4 linked regions of the Tribolium castaneum genome follow. Each later gene encodes a partner of the first gene's protein in a complex. Links are inferred from orthologs where the notes say so. Each region holds a gene or a part of one and is shown on either strand. Other genes may lie near its edges.

Region 1 (6,764 bases):
GATCCCCGCCTTGAGGGTGCAGTCAAGACGTAAATATTTAGAGAAACGTAAAGATGATAAAATCGCGGAATTGGAGGAGGATATCGCTGACGATGAGTATTTGTTCGAGGAGGAGATGTGAGTTGGTGGAATGATTTTGCGGTAAATGCCAACCTGAGGTTTTAGATTAACAGAACGTGAGAAAAAGGAGCGCGACCGTAAGCGGGAATTGCTGCGGTTGGCACAGGAACATGAAAAAGCGCGTGAATTGGAAAGGGTGCAGCGGTACCACATGCCCAGGGATTTGGGCAAGGGGTCAACAGCGGACTATGTGGAAGTTGATGAGCTGGAAAAGGTGCCCCAGTCGGAGCAGAAGAAATGGGAGAAGGACCAAATGGCGTCGGCGGTCTTCAAGTTCGGGGCCAAGGATTCAGCCAAGAAGGACGAGTACGATTTGTTGCTGGAGGACCAGATTGACTTCATCCAAGTCTTGCAAATGCCAGGTCTCTATTTTTTATAGTATCTTATGATACTTCGTCCCAATAAATGGAACATTAATTGCGTCATGAGCCATGAAGTAACAAAATGATAATTCGTAAAAATTAATTCTGAAAAAAAAATTTCGTATCTTACAAAAGCACAAAAAGCAGTAATAACGTTTCATTTGAGAGAAGGCTAATTAATTGAATATTAGCAAAAGTATGTAGTTTTGTTGGCTAAACGAAAAATTGAGGACTAGAATATTTTCATAAAATTATTACGGCAAAAGAAAATAATTTACTATTTGATGTCTCACAGAATTTTTATTGGAAGAAAATAGATAAAGAATCGTCCAAAATAAGTCAATTTCGGCTAGAATACGGCTTTTCAGCCACTTCTCAAAGAGTTTTCTCGTTTCTAAGCAAGAAATTGTACAAAATGAATGGTTTTCGTCCGAACTAGTGCATACACCGTTCTTTTGAGCTAGAATAAGGCGTTTTCAATCTTCTTTTATGCGTTGTTTTTTTGTTTTTAAGCAAAGAATCGCCAGAAATAAACCGTTTTCATCCAAATTATAACATAAATAGTTGTTTGTTTCCGGCTAAAATAAGCCGTTTTCAACCACTTCTCAAAAAGTTTTCTCGTTTGTAAGCAAAAAATTGTACAAAATGAATCGTTTTCGTTCTAACTAGTGCATAAACCGTTCTTTTGAGCTAGAATAAGTCGTTTTCAATCTTTTTTTATGCGAGTTTTTTGTTTTTAAGCAAAGAATCGCCAGAAATAAGCCGTTTTTATCCAAACTATAACATAAATCGTTGTTTTCGGCTAAAATAAGGCGTTTTCAGCCACTTATACAAGAATTTTCTCGTGTCTAAATAAGAAATTATACAAAATGATTTTTTTTTTCGTTCTAACTAGTGCATAAACCGTTCTTTTGAGCTAGAATAAGGCGTTTTCAATCTTCTTTTATGAGAGTTTTCTCGTTTTTAAGCAAAGAATAGCCAGAAATAAGCCGTTTTCATCCAAACTATAACATAAATCGTTGTTTTCGGCTAAAATAAGGCGGTTTTCAGCCACTTCTCAAAGAGTTTTCTCGTTTCTAAGCAAGAAATTGTATAAAATAAATCGTTTTCGTCCAAATTAGTGCAAAAAAAACGTTCTTTTTATCTAGAGTTTTTTCAATCTTTCGTTTTTAACCAAAGAATCGTCAGAAATAAGCCGTTTTTATTCAAACTAAAAATAGAGAAAAGACAAAGTATTGACTTGCATTTGACCTTTTCAGTTCATAGTAGGTAGATTTAATTAAAATAATTGCTCTGTATTTCTAAAAAGTAGGCATTTATTTTTTTATTTCTCTGTAATCTTCTTACAAGAACCGATTTAGCACCTGTTTAAGAATCATTTGGATACTTTTTCATTAAATAAGTAATTTATAGGTAAATTGTATTGCTGTTTGAATGCTCTCAATTGAAAATATTAGCTTAATAGTTCCATGACAAATAGTTAATGTTGAACTATACTGAGAACGTCTGTGGAGGAGCTGTTCAAATAAACACATGAACGCAAAATTTGAAATAAAATGTTTAAGAACAGTAATTTAAAAATGGTCTTTACGTCACAGATCAGTTTTTATCTTATTTTAAATATTTGTACCCGAGATTAAATAAGTTAAAGTCGATTTATTTTTCTATAAAAAAAGTTACCTTCAAACCGCATGAAAAAAATATCGCAATGAGAATTTTATTTACTAAAAAATGGTAGATGCATAATTTTTTTATACAGGATGCTCAAAAACTGGCGCACCAATTTAATGGTACGTTGTTGAGCAAAATTCGTTAAAAAATTCCTAATCTCATATTTTAGAAAGTCTAGAACTACAAACGTATTTTGTTAATGTCTTCAGTTTTCATTATTTTTTAATGTTTTTATGTTTCTCACTAAGTAATCGTTTCTTAATAAAATAATGATTAATTATTTTTAAATTTACTATCAGACTTTAGCAGTTTTCTGAATTTAAAAAAAATTAAATAAATCAAAAAATCACAATTTGTAGATGTGTCAACATTGGGCATTATTTCCTAGGAAACCGTTTCAAAAATAATTAATTTTTATTGTTGAACAAATTCTATTGCGATCACGACTATTAGACAACGTTGCCACATATCATTTATTTAAAATTCGGTATTTATCAATAACTGTAATACAAAGAATTTTTTACTATTTTTACCTTTATATTTAAGCATTTCTCTACCGCACATCATTGAATTGGTGCGCCGGTTTTTGAGCACCCGGTACATTTTTTAGGGGTATTAGGATTTTAAAACGATGAGATAAGAACTAGTCTGTGAGGTATTAAATTGGCAAAATTGTACCAAAATAATCAATAAACAGGCACACGAGAGAAGAAAGAGCCCGAACTAACCGAAAAGGAAAAAAAGAAGCTCGACATCCAAGAAACGAAGAAAAACCTCCCAGTCTACCCGTTTCGCGACGACTTGATCCAGGCCGTCCGCGAGCACCAGGTCCTAATAATCGAGGGTGAAACCGGCTCTGGAAAAACAACCCAAATCCCGCAGTACTTGCACGAAGCCGGCTTCACCAACGACAATAAAAAAATCGGCTGTACGCAGCCACGCCGTGTCGCCGCCATGTCGGTAGCGGCCCGCGTAGCCCAAGAAATGGAAGTCAAACTCGGCAACGAAGTCGGTTATGCGATCAGATTCGAAGATTGCACATCCGAACGTACAATCATCAAATACATGACCGACGGCACGCTCCACCGCGAATTTTTATCCGAGCCCGACCTGCAGTCCTACAGCGTCATGATCATCGACGAGGCCCACGAGCGGACGCTACACACGGACATTTTGTTCGGTCTGGTCAAAGACATCGCCCGGTTTCGCCCCGACTTGAAACTGCTGATTTCGAGCGCAACGCTCGACGCGCAAAAATTCTCCGAGTTTTTCGACGATGCGCCCATTTTCCGCATTCCAGGCCGGAGGTTTCCGGTGGATATTTACTACACTAAGGCGCCAGAGGCCGATTATGTGGACGCGTGCGTTGTTTCCGTTCTACAAATTCACGCGACTCAACCGTTAGGGGATATTCTTGTTTTTTTGACCGGTCAGGATGAGATTGAGACGTGTCAGGAGTTGTTGCAGGATCGGGTTCGCCGGTTGGGCTCCAAAGTCAAGGAACTGATTATTCTGCCCGTTTATGCGAACCTGCCAAGCGACATGCAAGCGAAAATTTTTGAACCGACGCCTCCAGGGGCCCGGAAAGTTGTGCTTGCGACAAATATAGCGGAGACTTCTTTAACGATAGACAATATAATCTATGTTATTGATCCCGGTTTTGCCAAACAAAACCACTTCAATTCGCGGACTGGGATGGAGAGCCTGATTGTGGTGCCAATTTCGAAAGCCTCGGCTAATCAGAGGGCTGGGAGGGCTGGCAGAGTGGCGGCCGGGAAGTGTTTTCGTTTGTACACCGCCTGGTCCTACAAGCATGAACTGGAGGACAATACCGTGCCGGAAATACAAAGGATTAATTTAGGCAACGCTGTACTGATGCTGAAAGCGTTGGGGATTAACGATTTGGTGCATTTCGATTTTCTTGATCCGCCACCACATGAGACACTTGTTCTGGCACTGGAACAGTTGTATGCTTTAGGGGCGTTGAACCATCACGGGGAGTTGACGAAGTTGGGGCGCAGGATGGCGGAGTTTCCGGTTGATCCGATGATGGCCAAAATGTTGTTAGCTTCGGAAAAGTAAGTTTGGCTTTTTGTGTGGGTTTGTTACTGTTTGCTTTTTGCAGATACAAATGTTCAGAGGAGATTGTGACTATTGCGGCCATGCTTTCGGTCAATGGGGCGATTTTTTACAGGCCCAAGGATAAAATTATTCATGCTGACACGGCACGCAAAAATTTTAATCACATAGGGGGTGACCATCTGAGCTTGTTAAATGTGTACAACCAGTGGAGGGATTCCGATTATTCCACCCAATGGTGCTACGAGAATTTTATACAATACAGGTGATTTCTCTTATTTTTTCTGAAATCTGCCATAAAAGAAAAATAAAATAAAGAAAAAAGAATGAAAATGTTTCAAACTAACCGGTTCATCTTCAGTACTTTAAAAAAATTAGAAATATAAATTAGAAAAATATAAATTTCAAGTTATCTAGTTGTTGAAGATACGTAAATAATTGTGCTTTATTTTGTTGTAGATCTATGAAAAGGGCTCGCGATGTGAGGGAACAGTTGGTCGGTTTAATGCAAAGGGTTGAAATCGACATGGTGTCAAATATAACCGAGGCTGCAGACATTAAAAAGGCTATAACCGCCGGTTATTTCTACCACATTGCTCGGTTATCCAAAGGAGGGACTTACAAAACCGTTAAACATAATCAGGTTTTAACACCAAAAAAATTATAGTTTTCTTTGTACTGAGAGAAATTGTTTCAGAGTGTCACAATACATCCCAATAGTGCCCTTTTTGAGGACTTGCCAAGATGGGTTCTTTATCACGAGCTGGTTTTTACCACCAAAGAGTTTATGAGACAAGTTATAGAAATCGAGAGTAAGTGGCTTTTGGAGGTTGCACCTCATTATTACAAGCAGAAGGAACTGGAGGATTCTACCAACAAAAAAATGCCAAAGACTGTCGGGCGTAGCACCAGAACTGAATAAAGATTTTTTAGAACCGAAAGCTTTTTATTATAATAATGTAAAAAATTGAAGAAGTAAAGCAGTTTGGTATTGTTGGAAAAAATTCTTATTTCTTCTCATGCAAACAATAGAACAGTAAATAAATTGCTTGTAAATGCAAAAGACACTATAGAAAAATAAAAATGTATTAGTGATAATACAATATACAAATATAAGTGTAAATACTTTACTTTTGTAAATAAAATTACGAAATCGAAATAATTTGTTTTTATAAAAAAAGACAATGAAAATAATAAACTAATCATAATGAGATGAAAATACTGAAAGGCGATAATAAAATAGCTTTTCTCGTCTAATTATTTTTTGGTTTTACCAATTAAAAAAGGGCATAAAAATATATAGCCCTTGTGACTAGTATTTATTCATAAATAAATTTATAAAATCTCCAAACCTTCACTGTTTTTCATGGCCTTTCATGTGCGTCCTCAGGGCGCTGCTCTGCACATAGGCCTTTTCGCAGAGCTCGCACTTGTACGGCTGCTCCCCCGTGTGTATCCTCTCGTGCACTTTGAGCGTGGACTTTTCCCCAAACGCTTTCCCACAGTGGTTACACAAAAACGGCTTTCTTCCCGTGTGTCTCCACTTGTGCGAATTCAAATTGCCTTTTGCAATAAACCTCTTATTGCAAATATCGCACTTGTACGGCCTCTCTCCCGTGTGTACCCTAACATGGACCTTCAGTTCGGCGGCTGAACCACACTGCTTGCCACACTCGGTGCACACAGCATTCGGGGGCTTCCCCAGCCCTAGATGCTTCTTCTTCAAGTGGTTGTTGAGATGTACTTTCGTTGAACACACTTTTGAGCAGAAGTTGCACAGGAAGTTGTTGTCAGTGTCGTGGATTGCGTCGAAATGTCTTTGCATTGCTTCTTTAGTGAAGAAGCTTTTGTCACAACCGGGGCAACAGAACGGTTTTATGCCGGAGTGTTTCCTCACGTGGGTGTCTAGACTGCCGGCTGAGAGCAGGAATTTGCCGCAAATGTTACACTGGTGTTTCTTTTCACGCACTGTGTGAATTCCCAGGTGTTGTCTGAGGATGGCCTTGGTCCCGAAAGCCCGTCCGCAGACTTCGCATCCGAAAGGTTTCTCCCCTGTGTGGCTCCGTAAGTGGTCGTTTAGACTCGCTTTTGAGTAAAACTTTTTGCTGCAAAGAGCACACTGGTGGCGCCTGTCGTCGTAATGCCGTTTCATGTGTTCTGACAGCACTTGGGTTGTCTTGAAGGCCTTATCACACTTGCTGCAAACGAACGGTCGGGAATTATCATGCGTTCTGATGTGGCGATTGTACGAATTGGTGGTGAGACATTGTTTGTGGCAAATTTTGCAAACTAAATCTTCGCGTGTTCGTTTCTTTTTTGACTGAGAGTCAGTTGGGGTGTTCACTATTTGATTACTAGACTCATTGACCAAGAAAGTGCTTTGCACATCTTTACTATTGTTGGCTAAAGTATTGAAAGCGATATTTACATCAAACACACTTGGGGGAATGTCCACTTCGTCTTTTATTGTGTTTGTTAATTCATCATTTTCGAGTTTTTTGTTTCTTCTCTCCAATATCCATTTACCGACTT
Region 2 (6,391 bases), on another chromosome or scaffold:
TTAATAAAGTCGCCGTTCGATAAACAACACGTCCTTAACCTCCGGCCCTGTCCCACCCCTCACTCACCTGTTTTGGTGGCCGGAGCGGTGGTGGTGCCCCCTTGGGCCCCCCAGACCATCATCAGCAGTCCCAGCAAAAAATCGCACCTCATTGTGCCGGCACTCTAGATTCACTCACTTTTTCACCAACATCGCAGAACAAAGCGATTTTTGTCAATGGTCATCGCACACAATCAAAGGAAATTCGCGGTTTTTGTCCGGTTTTTCACACAATTCATTCAAATTAACGAAGTTGGAGCAAGAAACGCTCGATGGACAGCACGCCGTCGAGCTATCGCACTCTGAAAACAAAAATAACAACAATCCAAACCCGTTCAACTGGAAGCTGGCCGCGAGATAAGTGCGGAACGTCGACAATTGGCGTCCTTATCTCACACAAAAGGGCCGTGATCTTTTCTCTTTATCTAACGTGCGGATTGGTTCAAGAAGTGAAGAGCGGTGACGGTGCTGACGCCACACGGAAGTGCATGAAAGGTGGCTAAAGGTGGGTGTCCCACACATGCCCCCTAAAAGGCCATGGGGGTGAACACAGGGGTGGATTTGCGTTTTTTTACCAAATCTAAAGCTTCAAACTCTGACACCATGCGCAAATTCGTGGCAATTTAAATTGGCAGTTCTGGATTTTTTTGGGAAACATTTATTAAATCGTCAACAAGGCTTTGCCATCAACCTGACAGTTTATCACCTGTTTCTTTTCTAATATCTATCAAGTGCAACGACAAGTCTACAGTGCGGTTTTTCTAATATTGTAATTTAAAAAATAATGTTATGCAACCAACATTACACCCGCGCCCATTAGGTTTTTTTTGCACTTTACGTACAAGATTACAAAAATGAATATCGTTTCCCTGTTATTGGACACTCTAAACAAATCATAATTTAAATAATTATTAAAACGTGATCTCCGTTTTGGCGCATTTTTTCGCTTGTTACCGCTGATCAACCCAGTTGTGCTACCGCTGACTTTTGTCGAATTTTGTTGGTTATGTTCCTTTAAACGGCGAAAAAAGCATGTTAAACATCCGAAAGGTGGTCGTGGGCATATCTGGGGGCGTCGATAGCGCCGTTGCGGCACTTTTATTGAAAAAACGCGGTAAATCACGTCAAAAAATTCGAATAAATTCGAGTCAAAGTTCTAGGTTATGATATACAGGGTGTTTTCATGCAAAACTGGGACATTGCGGACGAAAAGGGCTACTGTTCGGCTGACGCTGACTACAAAGACGCTGCTCTAGTGTGTGACAAACTGGACATTAAACTAACTCACGTCAATTTTGTCAAACATTACTGGAACGAAGTGTTTAGGTATATAATTAAATTCCCCGCCAAAAAAGACATTATTCGAATTTCAGCAATTTAATCAAAGAATATGAGACCGGCAACACGCCAAACCCTGACGTTCTATGCAATCGTAACATTAAATTTAATTATTTTTACAAATACGCGAGAAATGAGCTAGGGGCTGACGCTATCGCGACCGGACATTACGCAAGGACTAGTTTCGGGTCTTATCTTGAACATTATAACCCGGAAAAGGGTCTGTATCCAGTCAAAAAAAAAAACAATTTATTACAACAAAAAAACAGGGGTAAGACTACTAAACGCAGTTGATTGGTTCAAAGACCAAACGTTCTTCTTGTGCCAAGTCAATCAAGAAGCTTTGCAACGTACAATGTTCCCATTGGGCGATTTAATGAAGCCGGAAGTGAAAAAAATTGCAAGGGAAAACGGACTTGAAAAAATCGCAAGGAAGAAGGAGAGTATGGGGATCTGTTTTATCGGCAATCGCAAATTTCAAGACTTTATTAGAGAAGTAAGTGATTAGTTCACAGCTTCCGTGATTGGCCAATTATTTCTTACTTTAATTTTTGTTGTTTTCGAAGTTTTATAAATTTTTTTTAATTAAAAAAAATATTGTAGTCAAGCACTAACGTGGCTCCCTCTAGGTGAAGGGAGGCCTGTCATTGGTCAAAGAAGCTTTGCACTGGTCACTTGACTAAACATTTTTTTCAGTATATTGATGATAAACCGGGCGATTTCGTGGACGTTGACACTGCGAAAGTCGTGGGTCAACACAATGGGGTGCACCAGTGGACTTTGGGGCAAAGGGCGCGCCTCCACAGCTACGAAAGCCCTTATTTCGTGGCCCGGAAAGACGTAGACAAGAACATAATTTACGTAGTCAAAGGGACAAAACACCCGTTACTTTACACGAACATAATTTTGACCAGTGAGCCCCACTGGATCCACTCACAGCCCCCTGATTTACAAAACGGGGTTTTGGAGTGCGATTTCAAGTTCCAACACACCAAATATTGGGTCAAATGCCAGGTGTGCCAAACAAGTAAAGGACTGATTATTAAAGTGAATAGGTACAAGAGGGCCATCACTCCGGGACAGTTCGCTGTCTTGTCGAAAGATGGCGAGTGTCTCGGAGGGGCTCGAATAATTAACACGGGAGTTTCACACTTCTCGCTATATTATTTGGAGAATAATGGTCTAGGGAGTGTCTCCCACATTTTGAAAAAATATGTCAATGTGACGCAAGGTGAAGACGAGCTTACTGATAATGAAGATATGAAGCACAGAGCTGTAAATAGATGTTAGTAAATCAGCGCTTTTTCTTATTCGGACTCCGCGACCGCTTCCTCCTATCCTCGTCCTCTGACACGCTGTCTTCAGCGGAGTAATCCGACCCTGACTCGCCCTTCTTCTTCTTTTTCTTCTTCCTATCTGAATCGGATTCGCTGCTGTTTTCGTCCGACTTCTTTTTCTTCTTCTTCTTTTTCTCCTTCTTGTGTTTCTTTTCCTTCTTCTCTTTCGTGACAACAGGCTCCGGCGGCGCCTCCTCGTCCACTTTCTCCTTTTTTATCGTGTAAATGGGCAAGCGCTCAGGCAACTTGATCTCAGAATTAATCTGGTCGGCCAGTGTTTCGCGAAAATCGTCAGGGTCTGTTTTAATCTTCACTGGCGCTTTGACAGGAACTTGCACAGGGACGGCCTTGGGGGCACAGCCCTCATCGTACAGTTTCTTCGTCTCAGCGTCCGTTTTCTTGCCCTGTTTGGGCACCTTGTAGTTACTGACGTGGTCGACTCGTATCGTCCTGTTCAAGATTTTGATTCCGTTGAAATTATCAACGGCCAAGTCGGTCGATCTTTGGTCCTCGTAGCACAGGAAACAGAAGCCCTTTGACTTGCCCGAGTCCTTATCCCTGATCAGGTTTATGTTCACCACTTCGCCATACTGCGAGAAAATGCAAATTATGTCGCCCTCGGTCAGGTCGAAGGGCAAACCGCCGATGAAAACCCACGCACTGTCCCTGTATTGGTCATGCCAGGAGGTTTTATTACCGGTGTAGAGCTCCTGTTCGCTCAGTTTCTTCACATTTTTCATGTTCCTGGAAAGACAACTTCGCAAAATTGGGGCAAAAAATCGACAATACTTACGTTAACGGATTCATGGTGCGTGATTGTGGGGCCTCTGACCCCGAAAAACATGAACAAATACAAATAAAACAAATGTTCAAAAAATAGGTTAGGTATTTGACGTACGTTTGACGTTTGTGTTAATTGCGTTAAGGTGCATTCACACCGCGGCTGGAACTATTAAGGCGACTTCACATCGGTTTGTAAATTTATTGCCGTTTAAAAACATATCACAGGTGCATATGAGATCATAAAACGTATAAATAGAAACGATACAACTTATAATAAAATTGATTGTGCTATCCGCCCACTTCCTCACTCCTTAAATTGGCAAGTAGCTCGATTAAATTGGCAATTTTCAACGCCAACTCTTTGCTTTCCGCTTGCAGGGCGACAACGCGTCGATCGGCATCACTGTCACTCCCGCTCTTTTGTTTTTCCAGCTCACTTTCGACTTTTTCGATTAGAGCATCCATGGCTTCAAGCCCCGTTGTCAGATTTAACATCTTCAAATGTTTGCGGGGCTCTTCACTACTCCGCACAAAATTGATTTCGTTCGATAATTGTTCCTGTTGTTGATCAACTGATAGTTTTGTACTTGTGACAACTTCATCAGTGTTTAGTAACTTTTCGATTTTGTACTTGTTTTTCAAAAGTTCGGCATAGTGGAAGAGGAGTTCGTCCTCGGTCTTGGTCAAGGCGTAACCTTTCTCGCCTTTTCGGAACCTGACATCGTCCATAATCGACGATAGGTATTTTCGGCGGCTTTTCAATTGCTGTTCCTTCGCTATTTGGTGTCTTAAGGAGGCCAAAATTTTGTCTTCTTGGTGGAATTTTTCGCGCAGGTTGGCCACCCTTTCGTAGTACTCCTGGACACGGGTTTGCTCCTCCAACAATTGATTACGAATCGCGCGTTCCATTTCTGACAATTTATTTAATTAAAACCCCAAAAAATGTACAAAAACTTACCCAAAATTCGCTTATTCTCTTCTTCCTCCACTTCGAAATTTTGCAACCGCTCCAAACTAATCAATCGGCGTCTGAACAAATCAACCTCGTCTGTTTTCAACCCCGCCATCTCTCTCTTCATCTCGGCCTCTTTATCCGACATCTCGATCATGGTTTTGGGGTAATCACAAAAATTGGGGTATTCCCCCAAATTAATTTTCTTGAACATGTTCAAATATTGCCGTGGGTGCACGGCCTCGCCCGTCTTGGCCAAAATGTGGTAACTTTTCGTTAGCAATTTTTTAACATCTATGGGATGATGCGTTTTGTAAAAACACCGAAATTGTTTATCGTCTTTAAGACTCAAAATGGAGGTTCGTTGTAAAATATTGTAAGCCACGACTCCACACAGTAGAAACGAAGGTTCGTTTGTTAAAACATGGTCCCAGAAAATTTTCCAGGATGGCGCTGTCAAAACCTCGGAAAATGCAGTTCGCAAAATCGGCCATGCGTACAATTCGGAAGAGACTTTTTTTCTGGTTAGGAAGTCCAAAAGTTCGGGGTCGTGTACCATTAGGACGTTTTCAATCATCGCAAGTATGTTGATTGGAGGGAGAGGGAAGTACTCGAACCAGAATTGACACCAGTTCACTGCGATTATTCACTCAGTACCCATAGTGTGGTCCTTCGAGCCGGATCAACAAAAATATGGAAAAATCTTAATTAGAAATATTTTGTTGTAGCAAAAACAGTTTGAAAACAATGAGATTTTAAATATTTTCAGTTTTAATAAGACTATTCCATAATTTTGCCGCTCATTGAATAAAAAAACACTTACAAATTATCGTGCAAACGGCCTCAAAACACGTCAACGGCTTGTTAATAAAAACCTTGACAAAGGGGAACACAAAAAGTGGCAAATAATCCACGTTGAGGAAGAAGGGACACCACGTGACCAAATTATCCAACAGTTGTTTGAGGTTTTTGAGGTTTCGCTTGTTTTCAAGCGGGTATTTGCGGCACAAATCCTCAAATGAGACTATCATTCGGTGGTTGATAATCCCATTGTAGAGCTCCCTATTATTGGGAAGTGCCAACAAGTGTTCCCAAATTTTGGTCCGGTATGAATCGGGAAACTCGCCACACTCTTTCAATATCATTCTCAATTTTTCAATCTCGAGAATCTCCCTAATCTGACAATTTGACAAGTTGTTTAGTCTGCGGTCCGCCTCAACTCACCTGCTCCTTGACTATGCCCATTTTCTCCAAACATCGCTTCAATTTGACTTTTTTTCGCGCACTTTCTGCCCGAACGGCCTTCAGTTTGAGTGGCACAACCACGTATTGGGTCACATCGTAGATATTGACGTCACCGGACGATAAAACACAGGCCATATAACTCGCCGAAAAATCGTATTTTGAAATTTCGTAATTTGCAACTAATTCGCTCATTAGAACATTTTGGTGGCTGTCGTAGAAATAAACAGTGCCACGGCCTGATAAAATGGCTAAAATTTTATTCGAGCCGGCGTCGTTTGGCTGGGGGATGAAATCAATGTGTTTCAGTGACTGGATGTGTTCTGGCAATGTTATAAATTTAAATAGTTTGAAGTTCGAGAGTAGGAAGAGGGCGAGGTGTGGTGAGCGGCAACCAATCACCATCACTTTGCCGTCCCTTGAAAAAAACATAAAAAAACAATTGACAAAAACCATCGTCATACTGTGTGAACGTGATGTTTTTCACTTCGTGGTTGAACCACACCAGAGGTGGTATTTCAGTCTTCATCTCAAACGTGCCAAACTGCCAGATCTGGATCACGTCGTCGTTGAAACATGTCAAAATATAGGAGGAAACGGGAATGAAGCACACCTGGAATTTTCGAAATCAAATTAATTCTAACGATCGCAAAGACGTACATATTTCAGGGCGCAACTGTGCTGCAAACTGAGCACCTGC
Region 3 (5,932 bases), on another chromosome or scaffold:
CAATGGTGCGCCGTGTATTTGCGCAGCAGCGACTTAAACATAAGCCGGCTTAATGGTACGATTTTCAAATAATCAAGATATTTGGTCGAAATATTTACAGTGTTCGAAATGTTTTTAGCTTAGGATGGGATCTCGAGTTGGAGGATTTAATTCAGCTGGTTTGCCAGCTGATAAAGCTTTAGCGGGGGTTCCCCGATTGTTGGATGATTTGCAGCGCCTTTCTGAAGACACGGATTCAGCAGACATTGTTTTTATTCTTGGGAGAGACGAAGAACGTGTGTACGCACATCGAGTAATTCTTATGGCCAGGTGAAAGAATTTTTCTAATTACGTCCTTAATAAATCCCTTGTGCTTGTTATTTTTCAAGTTTTTCAAAGCTGTTGGTCTTATTTTGTCGTAATTAAGGCTTATATAATGAGAAGATGATCAAGCAAGAACAAATTGTTGGACTTTATAAAAGTCTGAACTTTTACAAAGTTGCAGAGACAAGGAACTATGGTTTCGCGCACCTCTCATTAAAACATCAAAGTTGTTTGCACCTTTGTTCTTATCTACTCGTAACTTTATTGCTCCACTCATATAATGACGCTAATAATAAGTCTCTTTCTCTATCTCAACGACTCTTGTTTCTGATGTCTAATTGGATATCTTTCGAAAATTGCTTTGATCCTGTGAGTCCACTATTGTGAGAGAGCACCTACACGCGCTGTACATTATTATGCATTTTTCTCCAAACGCATAGATGCATAAACTCATATGCCTGAGTGGCTGACGGCGGCTCAAAGAAACAACTAAAATGTAGCTAATGGAAACGTCTTTGTATCTTGAAGCTAATTATTTCATTCTTCAATATTCCGCTCAGATGCAAGAGTTTTCAAACGGCCAAACGCGGTGAAGTGTGTCGTATTCCGGGATGTTCTGTTTCTCCAGCAGCCCCAGGAACACCCACACCTGTGCGTCTACCGCAGGCGCCTCCTGACACTTTCAAGCAGTTCCTCCTTTATGTGTACACAGGAAAGGTTGGTATAAATTACCGATTATTTGTTTATTTTATACTGACAATAAAGACGTTTGCCAGATACTGCTGCAAGACAGTGGAGTTTTCGAAATGTTGGCGCTTGCTCAAGAACTGGGGGTTGATGAATTGAGAAATGCTTGCGAAGATCATGTCACTTCAACCTTGTCTGTTGCTTCAGCCTGCACTTTTCTGGCAGCTGCGATGGACATACAAAATCGGTCCCCAGGTAAGTGAAAAATTAATTCAAAATTGCTCAACATCAAAAACTGTAATTCTAAATAAATTTGAGATTAAAAACTTACTAAAGAATGGGTAAGTATAGAGGTATAAAGCTAATGAAGAAATAACTAAAAAAGAAATAGTGACCTAATAGTGCACTTAGAGTCGCCCTGACTGCCTATAGAGACGCTGTATCTCTATGCCATTTGAGCATTTGAAAATTGGGAAAAAACACTCAACCCCTATGCACAGATTTCATATAAATGATCCTTTGGTCCTTTGGGATCGGCTAGGGCTCATTAACATCAATTTTGTATCGTTTTGGCATTAATTTTGAGATTTTTCTCGCCTAATTCTAGTTTTTGGGGCTATTAAGACTCAAACAACACTTTACACTTCATCACAGTTTGGAAAATATAAATAATATAAATAAAAATAATCTCCGGTGCAAATAAAAAAATTAAGGTTCAAAGAGGTTTTGGGCCGCAAAGGTGTAGCACTTACCTTACCCAAATTGAAAAATGTGTCTTTTGAGCCGGTTTTTCCCCGAGTATTCTCCATAAACACAGTCAAGGGGCAGGTCGTTGTGCGCATCGCGCCAGGTCACAGTCTGCGCGCCCGCACTTTCAAATTCACAAATATTCCACAAAAACAGGTGCCCCACTTTGCATTTTTGAACCACCCAGTCCAAATAATCACTAGTTTCGTTCGATTTTCTGAGAGATAACAACACTGACTGACAATCACGCGATGACAACTGTTAAAAGCAGCATCCATTTGGTGCAAAGTCAAAGCACTCTTGGCAATTTTTTCTTAAGTGTGATTTCAGGCATTTATCTAACTTTTTGAGCAAAATAACCCTTCCTATTCAGTAAAGAGTTGATTTAAATGTCGTTTCACATCTTTATATCGAGTTTATAGCTTGTCGTTTTTTTCTTTAAAGTCACGTAAAATTATCCCGCCAAAACCAAAATTGTGTCATTAAGGGTAACAATGACAAAGAAAGACCTATTGACGATTGTGTGTGTGTAAGACACGGCGCAACTCCTCATATTAGCTATTTCAAAACTATAAAAACGCCAACCTCGTATTTTCTCTCAAAATTAGTTGTTATAAATTATTTATGCACTTCAAAAAACTAATAGGTAATGTTATTTATAGTCTCAATGATTTATTTATTAATAACTATTTTACATTTTTATCAACCTTATTAAAAAAAAATTGAGTTTATGAGACACCAAGTTCAAAAAAAATATATAAAAAACTATCACGTCAAAGAAAGCTAAATGAGAATAAAAAAAATTTTTTTCGAGACATTTACGCCCATCTGATGATAATTATGGAATAACTCAGCTTGATTAGTTAAGGAAAACCCAAAATATAAATTGTGCGACTATAATTCTGCGTGAATAATTTTGGAAAAAAAATGGGACGTTGGTGTTTTTATAGTTTCGAAACAGCCTAAAAACGACCAAACCACCAGACCTTTTTCTGGTGTATTTCAGCTCGTCAAGCTTCCCGCGTTCCACGATTGCCAACAGAATACAGAACTCACACAGATAACCTTACTTTGGTCGTATTGTAAGCGTCGCCTCATTTTTTAAGTTTTATAAATACTATTGCAAACTTTGAACAAGTTTTTTTCTCTTAATACGAATAATTCGTGCTGTGTGAAAGTGTGTTTGCACTTAGCTTCCTTAAAGAACTTTTTTTGCCGGTAACCCAAGACTCCTCTAACCATGGCGTACAAACCACAAAAAGTTCAAAAAGTGATGGTACAACCCATCAACTTAATTTTTCGTTACTTACAAAACCGTTCACGTGTACAAGTGTGGTTATACGAGAACATTAATCTGAGAATCGAGGGGCACATTGTGGGTTTTGATGAATACATGAATCTTGTGCTGGATGATGCTGAGGAATATTACGTTAAAACGAAGAACAGGAGGCAGCTGGGAAGAATCATGCTTAAAGGAGATAACATAACGCTGATACAGAACGTGAATCCTCAATCAGGCAATTAGTTGTAAATTGTAGCGTAATTCTAAGTTTCATAACAATTTTTTCATTCGTTGGAGTAATGTGTTTGTATGAAAACCGCAATTGGTCTTAGTATTAAGTGATTCATCAACTTTCTGTAAAAGAAATGCGGACATTAAAATTATTTTAGTAATTATGTCTATTTTTATAACTTCAAAGTCCTTAAAATTAAAATGTGATGGACAATACAGGTAATTATCGCTTTTTTAGAATTGTGAAGCTTGTAGGTGTTCCAATATATTTTTTTTGTAGGGGGTAAAGCTGCGACAGGTTTTGTCGAACGTTGCGTCAGCTACATTGGCGAAAATGCTGTAGAATGTGTAAAAACAAACTCATTTCTTTCTCTTCCCAAAGAAGCAGTCTTAAAATTAATCTCCTCAGATTATGTAAGTTTTAAAATTTTACTTAAAATCATTTATTACTGTTTCAATTTAGCTCTGTTTGGAGGAAGAGGATGTCTGGAGAGCAATTTTAAACTGGGCAAAGTACCAAGCTGGTGTCACCCAACCCACAGCCCATTGGACTGAAGAAGAGAGGGCCAGAGTGTGCCAGCACCTCTCACATGTCATTTCTCACGTCCGCTTACTTCTGATTGGTAAATTAAATTTTTTTTTTCTCTTATTTATTTGTAATATTATAGACAGCCAAGTTTTTGCCGAAGAAGTTGAACCAACTGGAGCCGTTCCAATGGAGCTCAGTTTGGAAAGGTACAGACATGCTGCGCTTCCTAGTAAATATCCTGAAGGAGCAGAGGACCAGAGACTGCGTCCAAGGGTATCACCTCACTTATTCCCGGGTTCGCTAATTCTGGGTCAGGATAAGAGTCACTACCAAAGGGTGCTCAATGCCTGGTTCGGTAATCCCAAGCAGAGTTGGAGACTTATTTACAGGGCTAGCAGTCATGGGTACTCTGCATCGGCTTTTCACAGACACTGTGATGGGATTTCGCCCACTTTTGTCATAGTTTTGGTAAGAATTTTGCGATTTATTTTAGCTGAGCCGTGAATAAAAAAAAACACGTACGCATACATACATATTTGCTTAGCGCTTTGTTGAAAAAGCCTCCATAGTTTGTCCTCAAAAAATAATCATGTATTAATCTCAATCATAAAATACAATATTTGTTTTTGTAAAAAAAATGTATTATATCACTGGTAGAAAGATGATTCACTGAATTAATGGTTATAAATAAGAGAGAATAAATAAACCATGGGCAGATCAAGATCTACAGATATGTGAATGAGAAAATATAAAAAATAACTGCTCTATTTTTATTTAAAAATTGTTTAGCATCCACGATTTTATCTCTTGGTCAGTAATAAAAGTAAAAGCAAAAGTATTGGGATTTTTTTTCTTCAAATTATTAATTTAGTAATTCATGTATTCTTAACGTTAACGACGTTGATAATTAGACCAGGGGTTAAAAACTTTGTTAAAGTTTAATTTATTTTAAATGTTTTCAACAAAAAGTATGTGATTGTGAATAAAATAGTACAGTATTTGTACAAAATTTGGTGGTAATGACTTTTAAAACAATTTGTTTTGTAATAAAAATTATTAGTAAAAATGGTGGATGCGCTGGGACAGATTATATTTAACCTGGGGTTAAAGCTTGGTAGAATTCTATTTTATTCATATGTATAAATAATAAATAAAACAATGGCACTGTGGTAAGGGCTTTTAAAACATTTTATTTTTAATTAAAATTATTTTCAAAAATGGTGGATGCGCAGGGACAAATATTACATTCTTTTAAAATTAATGAATTGTTTTGTTTACCATTTTATAAGAATGTATTGTTGTTTCGATTGTACGAGTTTGTGTTCATTGCTTATGAATAGGGTCCAAGGGGGGAAATCTGTGGCGGGTTCAGCGACGCAGCTTGGGGGCGCCCACCAGGCAAAAGCCACTACGTGGCCTCAGAGCGGGCTTTTCTCTTCACGCTTTACAACCACCAAGACTTGCCACCTACACAGTTTCATCTAGTGAAGAAACCATTTGCCATTTGTTACCACCCAGAGTATGTATATTTCATCTGACAAAAAAGAGGGATTTTACAGTGTTAAAATTAGTTCAGGGCCGATTTTTGGGGCTGGCGCTGATCTCCTAATTTCAAACAATTGTAATAGCAACATGGACAGTTACTCAAACTTGCCGCACACCTATGATGGAGATGGGGCCTCTCCTGCTGTTTTAATGGGCGATTATAATTTCACCGTCACCGATTACGAGGTTTTTACTCCAGTTAGTTCATCAGGAAAGCATCATAAAAACGAAAGATATTGATCGCATACTTTTGTGACAAACGTATTTAGTGTAAATATATTTTCACGATTATTTATTTTTTTCCCACCATACCACAAATATTACAAATCGCCACTTCAGATTAAGAGGTGTAAAAATAGAACACTAATGGACGTATTGATTTTTTTGCACCTTTTTTCGTCAGAAGTGCGTGTTTAACTAATAATTACCAATAATTTTCGTCAAGTGTGCTCAAGATGTTTACCACTAGTTTGTTTCCTTTAATCATAAAATGTTTAGAACTTGATGTGAAAGAATTTTGATTTCCTTATTACATTACCATTCCTGTTAGCGTCAAAAGAAATTAAGCATTTTGTCGCCATTGACACACATTTGTTCCTAATCAAGAA
Region 4 (5,886 bases), on another chromosome or scaffold:
CGTTTGGTAAAAGAAAATTGTATCTTCCTAAAGGTTTAAGGTCATTGCGTGTAAATTCAGCAAATTATTTGAATGAAGATTCGAAAAATATTCCTGTAGATGAGATGTTTATGTATAGGTAATGTTTTTGTGTGGGGTTGTTTTAAGGAAACATGTCAAATTTTGTGTTTTGTTTAGTTATTTACGGAAGAAGTACCACGACAGAGAGCAAGATTTTGGTGATAAAAGCGATGAGGATGATAGTGATTTGGAGTCGGTTCAAAGTGAGGAATTTGAAGAAATGTTGGAGAAAATGGCTGGTCTTCCTAAGGATGATGAGGAAGATTTGGACTTTTTGAATGATGTTGGAGATAATCTTAAGACTAACGGGAAAAGCCAAAAGGATAAAAGTATGTTTTTTATTTGCGCTTCATTATATACTTTTTATGATTTTTATCAAAAATTTATAATCATGCAGAAATTAGAGACTGGTATTGAATACTTTATTTTTTCTCTATGCATGCAAATATTTTTACAACTTTTCTACAATTCCGTCTAAGTTAAATTAATTAATTAGTAATAATAATATTAACTGAAAATATATTTATTATTTTTTATTTCTAATGACATTTTGAAACAAAAACTACATTAAAAATTGTCTCTAGTCTTTAAAAAAAAACATTAAAAATTACGTTTAGCTCACATTTGCATTTGTAAAGTAAATGCCAATTAAATTTTTTAAGTTCTAAAGTTGCAAAGATTTTATTCTTTGTTTCGACTTTATTCCAATTGTTACAACTTTAAAGTTATGTAAACTTCAGTGAAATATTTAATAGTAATGCGACGGTAAAAAAATCATTATATTTGACTTCAAGACTTGAACCATTAATAAAAAAATGTCTCTAAAATGTAAAAAAATGTCATGGAAAAGGAACCATGTTGATTTGAAAAACACATTTTTTTGATATTTTTCTACTTAGAATCGTAAATTTTATATGGTGCATATTTTATTGAGCTGCTATACTTTGTGTTAAAGTTTTGTGTATTTTTTTGTTAAAATTGTATAAATATTTTTCATTAAAACTTTTTTTGCGGCGCAGTTTTATAAGTGCTTCATTATTTATATTTTATCTGAAAACAGTTAGTCGATTGAAAATTTCGACCTTTTATGTTGTGTACTTGTGTACTTTTACCACATTATGGAAAATGTTTCAAAAAAAATAATTACAGTCGAACTTCGATAACTCGAATAATTGGTAACAAATTGGACCGAAATTAGCTTTTTTACGTTGAATTTTTTTCCACACCATTCACACTTTGAGTTAGCAACAATTTTTTATGTATCTTTTGCACAAATCAACTTTTAAGCATTTGTTGTCTTAGAATGTTATAAGAAGTAATAAAAAAAAATGTTTGCACCGCACAAAATATATTAAAACATATTTTCTGAACTTACCTTTAAATTTTAATTTTAAATTTTTTTTTAGTTTTTTTTTTTGAAAACACGAATGTTCGGTAACTCAAAATATACTTTTTCAAATTATTGTGTATGTTATATCAAGTAGGTTGAGGAAGTCTAAATATTTAATTTAATTTAATGACCGGAACAACATTATTAATAACAAAAATCTTTTTTTCTATATTAATTACTTTGTTAATTTTAATGAATTCTTTTTCTACCTCAGAAGCTTGAGTACACGTATTTATTGGAAAGAATAATTATAGAACAGATTAAGATTCATAATTAATATAAAAAAGTATATTTTGCTGACAACTGCTAATTTGTAGAAAAGAATTGTAGAAAAATTTTGAAAAGAATTACATAGATAAAAAAAATTAAATATTTATTAGCAAACGCTGGAAACCAGACAGAAATGCCTAAGTTTGTTGTAGATTAAGTTTACAAAAATAATAATAATCTGAGTGATCAATGATTTTAAATCTAAGTTGGCCACAATAACTATCAAATCTAAACGTTAATTTTTGTACTCGATTTTTAAATTTCACCTACAATTTATAGTACCAATAATAAAAATAAGTGTTGCCAACTTAATTTCAAAATGTATTTTGCTCTGTTTTCCAGAACGGACAGATGATGATGATAGTGATGACGATGATAGCGAGATGGAGGATGCTTCTGACGAAGAATTGTCAATGGACGAAGATGAAGATTTCGATGAAGATGACCTTGAAATGAACGATGATGACAAAAGTATATTTTTTGTAATAATAAAACACAAAATTATCCTTTGCTTGCAGTGCTTCTGGGTGACTTAGACGACGATGAAGACGAGGAAGTTGTTTTTGACGATGAAGAACCGAAGTCAGCAAAATCAAAGAAGAAAAAATCCAAAGACACAAACTCAATATTTGCATCAGCTGAAGAATTTGCCTCATTGCTTGACGATGAAGGTAGTTCGAAAATAGCCCCAGGAAGTTCAAATGCGTTATCAAATAAGGATAATGCGAGCACTAAACAACTTGCCTGGGAACAGAGTAGAAATAGGTGGTTGAAGGGATTTGATGAAGTAGTTGGCAAAAAGAAAAATAGTAAAGGTAGCAATTTTGGCAAGAAAAGGAAAGGTCCAAATAAATTTAATAATAAGGCAAAGAAGAGGAAGAATTAATAATCGACAAGGAAGCAGTCGATTGCATTTTAATTAATATAATTCTTTACGAATCCACCAGTTTTGTGTTTTATTTAATTCGTGTTGGTTGTATTTCGCGAATATACAACTACACATAACCCATAACCTAACTTTTCGTGACGTTTAACAGTACGTTCTGTTTATTATCTTCGTGTTTACAATTTCGTACCAAATTCACAATAATTATCGTGTTTTGTGAAAATGGTGTGCGAAAAATGCCAAAAGAAGTTGGGCAAAGTGATAACACCAGATCCTTGGAAAAGTGGGGCTAGAAATACAACTGAGTCAGGGGGTAGGAAAGTTAACGAAAACAAGGCTTTAACAGCTAGCAAAAACAGATTTAATCCATACACGTCCAGTTTTGAGACTTGCAGGTTTGTTAATGCAAGTAATCCTTAAAATTGATTTACTCTTCTCATGTTTTTATTGTAGAATATGTAGGCAAAAGGTGCACCAGGTTGGGTCACATTATTGCCAGTCCTGTGCTTATAAAAAAGGAATTTGTGCGATGTGTGGTAAGAAATTGTTGAGTACGAAGAATTACAAACAATCGTCAACTTGAACTACATTTTGTGTGTTACTTTTAAACAAAATTAAGCCTATTCTAAGTTTTAGAGCAATTTGCATTGTTTTGTAGGTACTGTTAGGTTTTCTGTCTGTATACAGTGAGTGTACGACAATTTAATTATCTTGAATGATAAGGTGTGTAATTATATTTAATAACTTATGACAAAAGTTTTTTATTTCATTTTTATGATAACATTTTTAACTTATTAATTCATTTCTACCTATTCTATCCCTATTTCTTTTTTGTTATTAAGGTTGACTATACATTATTAAAACGCAACTATCAAATATTCTAGAATTATTATTTGGACTTTTTTATAAACTAAAAAACTGTACCTGTAATATTATTTCCACAAAGTTAAAATACGATTTTGTCTTATTGCACTAAAAAAATAATTGAAAAAATTGATGTCTGTCGTATTATTAAATACTTCTAAAAGTGGCTACACTGTATATAACCTTTTAGAAATGAATTTCAGCGATTGGATTTTAAAAATTCACTTCCCTGTATATAAAAAAAACGTGACGAAGTCGTAACAAAATTCAATGAATCAGACAAACCTCTTTGTTTTCCACCTTGCAGTAATTACTTATCTCAGTGATTATATTTTTTGTTGGTGACGTTTTATCCATACACTTACACAATACTGCCGTTTAATTTTATTCAGTTTGGTTCTTGCTTTTGACGCAAACGGACGTAAAATTAAAATTTTCCAGTTCAAAATTTCAAATTTGTTGTGGGTAGTGATCGCGGTTAGTGTGTGGTATTGTAATGGATTTCCAAGAAGAAAGGGAGGAAACTACCCGGATTAAAGGGTTAGTCTGCAGTACCTACATTCTTTTTAGAAAAATTACATTAACTCTGTAACATTTAATTGAACCACATTGTTCTTATTTTATTGTTTTTTATTTCACAACCATTTTAACAGATAGGGCACTGCACACTTTTTTAGATTTCATTTTCAGTTTTTACAAACAGTATTACCAGAAGTGAATTTTTCTTGACAGGAACTTAGTACCAGTCAAATTTTTGCAACTTACAATTAGAACCACATTTTTTAAAGTTTGAAATACAAATTGATGACGGACGGGACAAAAAATCTTGTGTGTGAAAACATCTCTAAAAATTGTATTCATACAAGTTTTAATTATTAAAGACTTTAGCAATATTAAAATTAGACAATGTAAATTAAAAATTTTTGGTTTTGTTTAACATCGTAAGAAATAAGAATAACATGTAATGTTTGCGATAACGGACGGGACACCAAAAAATTATATAAAAAGCAATTTTTTCACTGATTTTCATTTTTTAAATGACTAGAAACTAGAAAAATACTCTTCAAAAATTATTCAACAGTTGCATTATATCAGTATTTTATGTTATAGCCTAAAAGGCATAGTATCTAGGTATGTAAATTTTAAAATCCAATACTTCAATTTAAATGTTTATCCTCTCCCAAAAATGTTTTTGTCGCAAAATACATTAAATATAAACTGCATCGTGTACAGTGAAACCTCTTCACAACGGACAATTTTGTAGGAGCATAATACCTATATTAAAATTCTCCACTTCCCATAAGTGGACATCTCTCCACAACGGACAGTCCCTCATCGGTGTCCGTTGTTGAGAGGTTTTACTGTAGGTACCAAAATCATTTTAAAATTTCGGTGTTAAGTTACATTTTTCCTGGAATGGCTGTTCAGTATGTTTAAACAATAAATTATAACAGAACAAAAAACGCCATAAAGGCCAGTTCACTTTAATTTTTTTCTATTTATTGCCAATAAGTGAGGTGTTGAAAAAAGTTTGAGTACAACATATAAAAAAATACACTAAGTAAAACTAAAAGTAAAATGGTATTAATAAAAATAAGCATTAAGCAATTTACTTATTAAAATTAATTTTAATCCAACATCGAGGTCGCAAACTTTTCTGTAAATATGAACTTTCAAAAAAAATTATATTATTATGGTTTTACTGAACAGAAAAAAAATTGCATTAGCAAATCTTTAATTTTGTATTAATATTGAAATGCCTTTATTTGTCCTTTTAGAAATTCGTGAATTTTACTAAGAGACGATTTAACCTAAAACTCTTTAGAATAATGCATACTGTCACATATTAATAGGAATGCCTCAATTTCGCGAACATCCTGTATACAGGTTAGATTGAGCATTAAAATTAAATTGACGAATATTCTTAATTTTTTTTCAAAAGGGATTTTTTATGGAATAATTAGCCTCCAAAATTGCCCCAAAAATACAGGTATTTTTTATAAACGTTTTATAAAATTTTACGTCCAGTCGTTTTAAATAATCATTTAATAGGGCAAATTGTAAGGTGGTAAGCTTTGTTAAAGGGGGCTAAAAGCGCCCTCTTAACACAATTTTTTAAATAACTTTGTTGCTAATAGAATTTGAGAGCCTATTCCATTTTTGTCTCATAGATTTCAGTATGAACTTTTCACTTTGCCAAGAAATTATTAAATAAAAATGAAAAACCGGTACAAAACATAAATAAAAAATATTAAAATTTTTTTTTTTTAAGTTTTTATTTAAAAATTGCAATAAAAAGTAAAAATTAATGTTTTTCAATCAGAGGAGAATATTTTTTCTTATAGGTTAAAATTCTAACATTTATAAAAGCTTTGGGAGTTATAACACTACGGCATTGCAGTGTTATTTTTTTCAC

The links. The genes of interacting proteins can lie anywhere in the genome.
Region 2: l(2)37Cb (region 1) and RNA-binding motif protein, X-linked 2 share a complex: the UniProt entries of both Homo sapiens proteins name them as parts of the minor spliceosome. The link is inferred for Tribolium castaneum from reciprocal best matches to the Homo sapiens genes DHX16 and RBMX2.
Region 3: l(2)37Cb (region 1) and SmE share a complex: the UniProt entries of both Homo sapiens proteins name them as parts of the minor spliceosome. The link is inferred for Tribolium castaneum from reciprocal best matches to the Homo sapiens genes DHX16 and SNRPE.
Region 4: l(2)37Cb (region 1) and cysteine-rich PDZ-binding protein share a complex: the UniProt entries of both Homo sapiens proteins name them as parts of the minor spliceosome. The link is inferred for Tribolium castaneum from reciprocal best matches to the Homo sapiens genes DHX16 and CRIPT.

What each region holds. Positions count from the first base shown.
Region 1 is NC_087398.1:7,192,114-7,198,877, forward strand, and holds the end of l(2)37Cb (pre-mRNA-splicing factor ATP-dependent RNA helicase DHX16), read left to right. Parts: coding exon 1-117; intron 118-165; coding exon 166-482; intron 483-2,850; coding exon 2,851-4,231; intron 4,232-4,278; coding exon 4,279-4,497; intron 4,498-4,691; coding exon 4,692-4,875; intron 4,876-4,929; coding exon 4,930-5,154; 3' UTR 5,155-5,173; downstream 5,174-6,764. Other genes in the region: zinc finger protein OZF, read right to left, coding at 5,587-6,764. UniProt on the Homo sapiens protein: Required for pre-mRNA splicing as a component of the spliceosome. Contributes to pre-mRNA splicing after spliceosome formation and prior to the first transesterification reaction.
Region 2 is NC_087396.1:22,563,025-22,569,415, forward strand, and holds RNA-binding motif protein, X-linked 2, read right to left. Parts: upstream 3,661-6,391; 5' UTR 3,522-3,660; coding exon 3,508-3,521; intron 3,459-3,507; coding exon 2,672-3,458; 3' UTR 2,668-2,671; downstream 1-2,667. Other genes in the region: LRP1 (prolow-density lipoprotein receptor-related protein 1), read right to left, coding at 68-152; mitochondrial tRNA-specific 2-thiouridylase 1, read left to right, coding at 1,072-1,153, 1,200-1,365, 1,413-1,597, 1,647-1,873, 2,074-2,667; TBC1 domain family member 31, read right to left, coding at 3,786-4,408, 4,456-5,085, 5,273-5,627, 5,674-6,109, 6,156-6,304, 6,352-6,391. UniProt on the Homo sapiens protein: Involved in pre-mRNA splicing as component of the activated spliceosome. As a component of the minor spliceosome, involved in the splicing of U12-type introns in pre-mRNAs.
Region 3 is NC_087394.1:32,140,057-32,145,988, forward strand, and holds SmE (probable small nuclear ribonucleoprotein E), read left to right. Parts: upstream 1-2,760; 5' UTR 2,761-2,977; coding exon 2,978-3,262; 3' UTR 3,263-3,411; downstream 3,412-5,932. Other genes in the region: kelch-like protein 21, read left to right, coding at 125-309, 864-1,020, 1,080-1,245, 3,531-3,664, 3,714-3,873, 3,919-4,247, 5,120-5,298, 5,351-5,564. UniProt on the Homo sapiens protein: Plays a role in pre-mRNA splicing as a core component of the spliceosomal U1, U2, U4 and U5 small nuclear ribonucleoproteins (snRNPs), the building blocks of the spliceosome.
Region 4 is NC_087394.1:8,404,185-8,410,070, forward strand, and holds cysteine-rich PDZ-binding protein, read left to right. Parts: upstream 1-2,711; 5' UTR 2,712-2,828; coding exon 2,829-3,001; intron 3,002-3,059; coding exon 3,060-3,189; 3' UTR 3,190-3,365; downstream 3,366-5,886. Other genes in the region: Noc1 (CCAAT/enhancer-binding protein zeta), read left to right, coding at 1-118, 178-389, 2,063-2,191, 2,239-2,606; ras-related protein Rac1, read left to right, coding at 3,967-4,010. UniProt on the Homo sapiens protein: As a component of the minor spliceosome, involved in the splicing of U12-type introns in pre-mRNAs. Involved in the cytoskeletal anchoring of DLG4 in excitatory synapses.